Nothobranchius furzeri: one gene and its partner. The protein of the gene in region 1 interacts with the protein of each later gene in a biochemical or structural test. Links are inferred from orthologs where the notes say so. Each region holds a gene or a part of one and is shown in the gene's direction. Other genes may lie near its edges.

Region 1 (3,968 bases):
CTGCAGTTTCAAAGTTCAAATGGTGTTTAAAAGCCTTTAGATGAACTGCTAGAACAATGATGAGATCTGAGTTGTTTTAATACAATAGAAACCCACTTTTAATTTACCCTCCTGGAACTAATCAGTAACTTATTTGCCTAGACACAATCAAATTTTACTATTCTCTGTTTACCTGCCTGCCATTCTAACCAAACTACAACCTTCACCAGAGCTGGGGAGTAAGCAGCTCCAGTCAAAAGATCTCTGCCAGATACTGGGAGATCTTGATGGATCAGCCGAAGTTCCCCAGTCATACTGCTGTCACCTCCCTCAGACCAGACGCTGTTCTTGTGTCTGAGGCCAGTAAGCAAGTTTTGCTGTTGGACTTAACAATTCCCCGGGAAGAGCCCTGGAGAAAGCTCTCCAAGTATGGAGTGGACTGGTTGGAGAGTGAGAGTGAGGTGCTTCCCAGTGGAAGCTGGATGCAGGGGTTAGATCCCTGCTTGATCACTGAGTTGCCTTGGCGTAGAGGATAAGCATGAGACACGAGCCATCAGCAGCACCACCACTGAAGCAGTCGAGTCGAGGCAGTGGAGGACGAACCACTGATGTAGATTGTTCTTAATATTTTTCAGAGTTCCAATTTAAAAGATCTGAAGGATCATTTTGGTGATTTCAAAATCATCTTTCCTGCTTTCAAACTTGTAAATATGAAGTTTAGTAATTATTGTAACTTTGGAAATCATAATTACAAGATCAAAGTCATAACTATGACTAAAAATAACACCATAATTACAACCTTGACAGTTATTAAAAATTATATTTATGACTTTAAAAGTCAGATTTCTAAGACAAAAGGTTGCAAATGTGATTAAAAGTTATAAATCTGAGATGTTACCATAACTGTACCCTAATCGAGCCAATATACGTTTCCCGTTATTGTGAGATGTATCATTTTGAAGTTAAAAGTCACCACATTGCCTGATATTAGGCACCAACAATGAAATAGACAGGAAATATTTTAAAGAACTTTTTTTTTAAATTTATTTAAAAGTTGATCATTTATCATAACTAACCCTGATCACTGACTGTTTCCTGCCGCCGGGGGGCATCAGTGCATCACTTACACTTTCTATTTGTTTCTCTTCCAGAGGAAGGTGGTGCTGTTGCTCACCAGCCGCTCATCGTGCGCAAAGATCGGCGCTGAAGCTGCAGAAGGATGTGCTCTCCGGACGAATGTTTTGGATAAACGCAGGGAGTTTGACCAGTAACCATTTTCACTTTTACAGTCTGCAGAGCGCACCGGTCCGAAGGTTCTGGAGCCCCCGGTGGTTTGGGTCCGTTTTGGAGCAGCGTGCCTCAGAGCCGGACACACGGTCCAGTTGACTGGAGTTCGTAGCTTTTAGGGAATTTAAACTTTTCCGTTGTTGGATCTGGAGTTGTGTTTGTGATGTGAGGGCGCGCACGAGGCCAGTCGGGATGCACGCTGGAAGTTTAGCCCCGCACCCGTTGTCCTGAACTCCCACCTCTTCTTTTCGCGCATTTTCACCGCATTTTTACTCTACTCGGGTCTGCAGGAAGGTTCGATGCGAGAAGAAGAGCAAATGGCCAACGAGCGGAAACCGCGGCTGTGTGTGATGAATAAAGGGGAGAACGGGTATGGCTTTCACCTGCACGGAGAGAAGGGGAAGAGCGGACAGTTCATCCGCCAAGTGGAGCCCAACTCCCCCGCAGAGGCGTCGGGGCTGCGCGCCGGGGACCGGGTGGTCGCCGTGAACGGCGTCAACGTGGAGAAGGAGACACACCACCAGGCGAGTGGATGTGTGCTTTCATATTTATGATTAGAGTCGAGTTACATGTCTGCCTGCGAGGGTGCATCAACAGGTCACACACACACACACACACACACACACACACACACACACACACACACACACACACACACACACACACACACACACACACACACACACACAAAGTGCGCAAAACCCGCCCCCGCCACACTAATCTAATCTGTCGCATTGAATTTACAGACTTTCAGCATATTGGCATATTGTTGAGGCTGATAAACACTCAGACGCTTCAGCTGCAGACTTTGTTCTGTCTGAGCCCAAAATGATCTGCAACTATCAAATATCTCTGCCCCAAACCAAGTTAAACTGTCTTATCTGTCAGGTCACAGAGCAGCAGGAGGTTTTTACTTTTGTTTCATCACTCTTCTGATGGGTAATGGTTCTTATAGATTTGCATTTATCTGTGTAATTCATTTTAAATTCAGTTGAGTTAAAAATCTGATTCAGTTTTCGACTTCATTCCTCTCATCCACTAACTGTCATTGAGGCCTGACCTCAAATGTTGTGTTTTCTCACAACTATGGTGGTCTGATGGTGGGAAACAGTAACAGATGAGAGAGAGAGGGGGGTGGGGCGTGGGGGTCAACTATTTAATCCACTAAATTTTGGCATATGATTGGACAAACCTTTGATTGGTTTGATATAATTTTTCTCCACAAGCATATACTCAACATGAGTTTATGCACGTTTGTTTTTTGTTGGAATTTGGGACACTGATTTTGTTTTAGAGTGCCGAAACCGATTTCTGACTCTTGTAACAGCTCAGACTTGCTGATGCTGGTTTGGCCCATTCAGATTCATCTAACTAACATTAAAGAGACAATGTGTAGTTTTACCATTAATTTCTGGAAACATCCATCAAAATGTAGTTGAAAATGAATGAAATGAAGCCCAGTTGTTGAACAATATTGGCAGCGTCGTAACATCTAACCATAAAAATCTGGTCTAAAATAAATGGGAGCGGGTCTAAGTCTCTGGGCGACGCCATATTAGATGCTATGTTTCCTTCTACGGGTGCCCATGAGGACAAAATGCATCTACTGATTTGTAACAAACCGTTACAAAACTTTTGTCATTGTTAAATATGTTGTTTTACACGTTTACCTCTTCAATTGTTGCCAGTGATGAAAGAGAGTCTGATGTGCTTATTTTGCTAAAGTTTGCACTCCCCAGGGCTTTTAGACCCTAATGGGCTTCCGTTGGTAAGGTCTTATTCCAACACAAAAATACAGCTTTCTTACAACGATTTAGGTATCTACTGCCCCCTATGGCCAGAAAAAATACACACTGTCACTTTAAAGCGTTCATTCCGGAGCTAAAACCTTGCACATGTAACATCAGTTACTAACATCGATGAGCAGTTGTCTGGTGAGTTCACAGACCAGGAAAAATGTCAGATGTTTTATTGTTGACGCCGCTTACAGATCAATATAAAAAAATCAGAATTCCGAGTTTCTGATCACCAGACAATCTAGCTCCTCTCTTAATTATTTTTTCGTCTAAACTGTTGTGTTTTAGCCTGTTGTTGCTATACCCATGAACATCTTTAGTCTATTATTTTAAATCCTCCCAGATTCATGAGCTAATGGCTGGGACTATTTAAACCAAAACGTTTCACTGCCAACTTAAAACACCTTTAATCTCCCAAATCTCACAACAACAGCTAATGTGAACGTTTATTTAGAAACCTTTACATCACTGTTAGTGGTTACGTCAGCTGGAACTGTCTGACTCCTGCTGGATTTGAGCCCTAAAAGCACCATAAAGAGCTGAAGTTTGATCATGTTGCAGGTTTGTTTTGTCACCTCATACTTAAACAAGGGCCTGACAGCTGGGACATTTAAAACAACAACCATAATCTAGTTCTTACATTGTTAAAGGTGCAGCATGTAAGAATATAGTGAGAATTTTACAGTGAGAAAATCCCAAAAGAGTTTAATGTTTCTGTCATTTTAGAAGGAAGGTTATAGTGAAATATATTAGCTGGATGCTGGGATTGTCAGTTTTTCTCCTCTCAAAACAAAGGAAGGAGGGACTACTGTTTACCATCAGTGAGTGTGGGGTTGCCGTGTCTCCTGCGAGTAATACTGCAGCGCTACAATTGTAATGTGGCAATGGCTAGCAAAACGCTCCAGA
Region 2 (4,313 bases), on another chromosome or scaffold:
CACGTTTTTACATAGATAGCTTCTTTTACTCCTCTCTCAAATCATCTATCTTCTCTGTCCAGAATGTGGACTTTGTCATCTTCAAAGGTGTGTCCCTTGTCCTTTAGGTGAAGGTGGACTGCAGAGTTTTGACCTGAAGAGGTGGCTCTCCTGTGTTGTGTTATGTTCTTGTGTAATAGTTGTTTAGTTTCTCTAATGTAAACATCTGGACAGTCCTCACTACACTGGACTGCATAAACAACGCCACTGAGCTTCTGTTTGGGTGTTTTGTCTTCTGGACGGACCAGGTTCTGTCTGAGGGTGTTGTTGGGTTTAAAGTTTACCGGGATGTTGTGTTTGGAGAAGATTCTTCTAAGTTTCACTGAGAATCCTGCCACGTATGTGATGATGGTGCCTTTGCCCAAAGGAAGTTGTTGTTAGGTTGGTAGCAGAGCTTTCATGTTTAGTGTTAAGTTCAGTGAGATCATGGAATGGGATCAAGAATTTTCTACTGACAGGAAAAAGATCTCAGCTAACATAGCTGTAGATCACACTGGATAACTCTCTGTGGTGCATTTATTTTACATTTATTTTACTACCTCTTACTAGAGCTGTCTTTAGTAGACGCAAAATATACTTGGATGTACACCTGTGCAATAGCAATAAAGTATCTTGAATCTTGATTTCTGTTAAATGTACTTCCTGAATGAGTGACCTTTTCAGGCTAAAATAACAAATTGACAAATACAGACAGAAGGATGAATTCTTTCTTCTTTTGTAATGCATTGCATCACCATCTGGTATCAGAACAGGTATTGGAAGATAATCAAAAATCAAACAACTTGGACTCGGATCAGGGGCAAAAATGTGGTTGTAACATCTCTAGATATGTCAGCTTTAAAAACTAAAACTATTATTTATGAACTAACATTAACACTAATGATACTAATTGGTATATTTTTATTATGTTGTTTGAACCCAAGGGTCTCATTATCTGAATTTTCTAACTTGTTGGATTGCTCTATAAGGGCCCCTTTTTTTTTTACTTTGAGCACCCGCCCCGTCAAAGGTCTCTGCACGGCCCTGGTTTCCAGTATTTGTGTATTTTTTACCTTTACACGTGTGTTAATTTCGTTTTTTTTCTTTTTCTTTTTTTTCTGCTTTGCTTTGTTAGTTTTATCAATAAAGTTAATTGAGAAGAAATTTCTTTTGATTTTTTTTTACACGTAAAGCAGATGACTTCCGGTAGGTGGCAGAAGAGGGTTGGGTTAAATGAGATTCCAAGGATGTTTTGTTTATTAACCAGTCAGGCAGATTCTCTTCCTTAGCCTGCAGCTAATCTGCATTCCTGCTGACAGAAGAGATTCTCGGTAGAAAGTGTTTGTCGGTCAGCTGACAGCTGTGAGATAGTAGCATGTTACCGTCGGAGTTAGCGTGCAGACACCGAGCTAATTCAACGGTAAAACCAATCGCTCTATTTGAATCTAGCGGGCTAGTCTTTTTGCGTAAGCGAAACATTTATTTCTATAGCGAAGCAAGGACATTTTACCAAAACGTGCCCCCAAGGTGGCTGTTTTAGCATCAATGTGCGAGTAGCTAAGTAATTGTTTCTCATAGCAACTAGCTAGCTGTCACCAGCGGGAGTCTGATGGAGAACTCGTTCTAAAGTTTGAAGACATCTTCTGCTGCTGCCGATGTCGATTAAATGGCAGAAGCCGAGCAGGACGATGGGCTCGAAATCGGTGGCAGCACGGAGAAGTTGACGGATGGAGAGAAAGGAACTTCTCGTGGATCAAACAACTCCTTTACCGGGGACACACAGGTGGACAAGTATGGGTTCTTAGGAGGAGCTCAGCAGAGCGCCACAGAAGAGTAAGGGTGATGTTTCAAATGCAGCTTCTGATTTCTGGTAGATATGGGAAAATGTGAAAAAAATTTCTTAATGGTCATTGTGTGTTGTCAAAGATAATCAGATTTATGTGGTAAATAAAAAAAAACATATGGGAGGATTTCCTGAAGTTACGTGTAAGTGTTGGTTACGGCCGAAAGCAAGTACACTCACCCCTCCCTCACCGGTTTTCCTTTATTCTAGCAGCTAAACTAACACGAAAACTGTCCTCATTTAGTCAAAAGTGTGCTCTTGTTTCAGTTATTCAAAAATTTTATCCTAGTCATGTCCCAATCCTGCCAGGGCCATCTGTCTCCACTAGTGATTTGTTTGAGTTTTATCCTTTTCAAATGGGACAGAGCCCGTTTCCACCCGAACTCGGATAAACCCCAGATTAAACTAGCCTGTGTTTCAAACATCACCAACCCAACAGTAAAACAACTTCCTGTTTACTTTCACTCCAAGAGTTTCCTTATACCTTGGTTAATGTAGATCTATGGTTGCTCCGCATCAGAGTAACTAGCGTGAGATAATCACATGATCCACCAGCATTTGCCTCACCTTAACCACTATATGTTATTGTGGACAGGTTTCAGCTCCAGACTGTCATCGGTGTAAACTGGAACAACACGAGTCCAGGAGTTACACTCACTGATAACACTCCCACCAAGTCTTCCTCATAGTCCGATGTTGAGAATTGGAAGAATGTGTGACTGTTGAGAATGATGTCAAAGATTTAGGGTTTGGTGACTAACCAGTGTTTGATCTAAATGGATCAAAATAATTTCTGTTCAACTTGAGTATGATGGATCAAACTCAGTTTGTGAATTTGACCGTTTATAAAATCAGTGAGACCCCCCACCCCCCCATTGTGGTTCTTCATGAAACATCATGGAGATGATCTTCAGGAATCAAAACTTTTTTTATGCTTTCAATGGAAGAGATCAAACCAGTAGCTGTGTTTTCATTATGATTTAGTTATTCACTTTTTCATGGGTTATAATCTGGAATGTTTGCAGCCCCTGTGCTAAAAGATCAAGGATATCCATTCTTGTAGAGCCTGAAAGGTGGCATTTATGGGATGTTCAGCTGTTTGAAACGAAACCGCAAATCCTCCCGTCAAACCAGCGATCTATATGTAGCGTCTCTGTTCTGCGTTGTTCTTCTGACTTTATTGGCTTTCACCTGTTAAATGTGCTTGTGGTTTAGAGACACCGATGTTGTCCGGAACTATTCTGGTGATCCGATTAGAGCATACTGCTCAGCAGGTTTGTGTTTTGTTCATGTTCGGAAGACATCTCGTATTCTCCTCAGCGCCGTTGGGCGGTGAGGTGTCTTTATAAAGGCTACAGTGAATTAGACTGGGGTAAACGTCCCCCACAGCTTCCTGTTTCCCTTCCGATGGCGAATGTTCAGCTGCTTCGCTTGAGGAAAGTTTCCTGAACGTACAAAGAAGAGACGAGCTGCTTCTCCGCTCCCTCTGAGCAAAAGTGTCTCCTGTCGAACTTTTTAGGAGAGGACGGCGGGACTCTGTTTGACTACTCATACCAGCTTTGTTGTGTTTTCCCTCTCAGGGCGGAGGAGATCCCCTCTGATGTGCTGAGGCAGCGGGAGTTGAAATGGCTGGAGATGTTAAAAAGCTGGGACAAGTGGATGGCCAAAAAACACAAGAAGGTCTGATTTATGTGATGCTTTTACTGATTTGTAATTCCTCCTTAAAGAGGTTCAAGCTGTGGTTTAAAAAGCATGAATTCACACAATCATATCAGATTTGAAGCTCATTTTATTCAGGATTTTATTAAATCCTGCAGTAACTGTGTGTTTGTTGAATAAAAGGTGAAAGAGCGTTGCCAGAAAGGAATTCCTCCATCCCTGCGGGGTCGGGCCTGGCTCTACCTCACTGGAGGGAAAGCAAAAAAGGAGCAAAACAGGAGCAAGTTTGAGGTCAGTTTGAGAATCCTGGTTCCTCTTGAGTCCCAATCATGATGGGTTTACTGTAGTAAATGTTTGTGATGGGACAGCTGTTGCTTTTTCTATCGATATCTGGGAGAACTTAGGTATTCACAACGTACTTCTACACAATAGACGGCTATAGATTAGAAGTTTGACCCTCCCATAACCCAGTCAGATTTGACAAAACTCCTCAGATTAGAAGCGAAGCATCTTCAAGAAACCAAAGACGTCCAGTTGCCTTCATTTGAATCCTTTTGGATCACTTATATAAACTTTTTGCATGTTCAAATATCAAAATAAAAGCTTTAACATTTTGTATTTAAATTACAAACTCAGAGTGACCGATTATAATCAGAAATAATCATTAAAACTGTTTTTTTTTTCAGTCTTCATCACCTTTAAGTTCTAGATCCCAGTTTAATAGATAGAAAATGTGAAAAATTGGTTAAAAAAAAACTAAAATAGTGTCTTATAGGAACTGAAGAACCATCCA

What was found.
Region 2: the proteins of Na(+)/H(+) exchange regulatory cofactor NHE-RF2 (region 1) and TBC1 domain family member 10A form a complex in vitro, tested with the Homo sapiens proteins (2 studies listed by IntAct, with this or other methods). The link is inferred for Nothobranchius furzeri from reciprocal best matches to the Homo sapiens genes NHERF2 and TBC1D10A.

Annotation. Positions count from the first base shown.
Region 1 is NC_091752.1:53,773,813-53,777,780, reverse strand, and holds the start of Na(+)/H(+) exchange regulatory cofactor NHE-RF2, read left to right. Parts: upstream 1-1,142; 5' UTR 1,143-1,565; coding exon 1,566-1,790; intron 1,791-3,968.
Region 2 is NC_091746.1:51,452,351-51,456,663, reverse strand, and holds the start of TBC1 domain family member 10A, read left to right. Parts: upstream 1-1,492; 5' UTR 1,493-1,684; coding exon 1,685-1,851; intron 1,852-3,441; coding exon 3,442-3,541; intron 3,542-3,703; coding exon 3,704-3,811; intron 3,812-4,295; coding exon 4,296-4,313.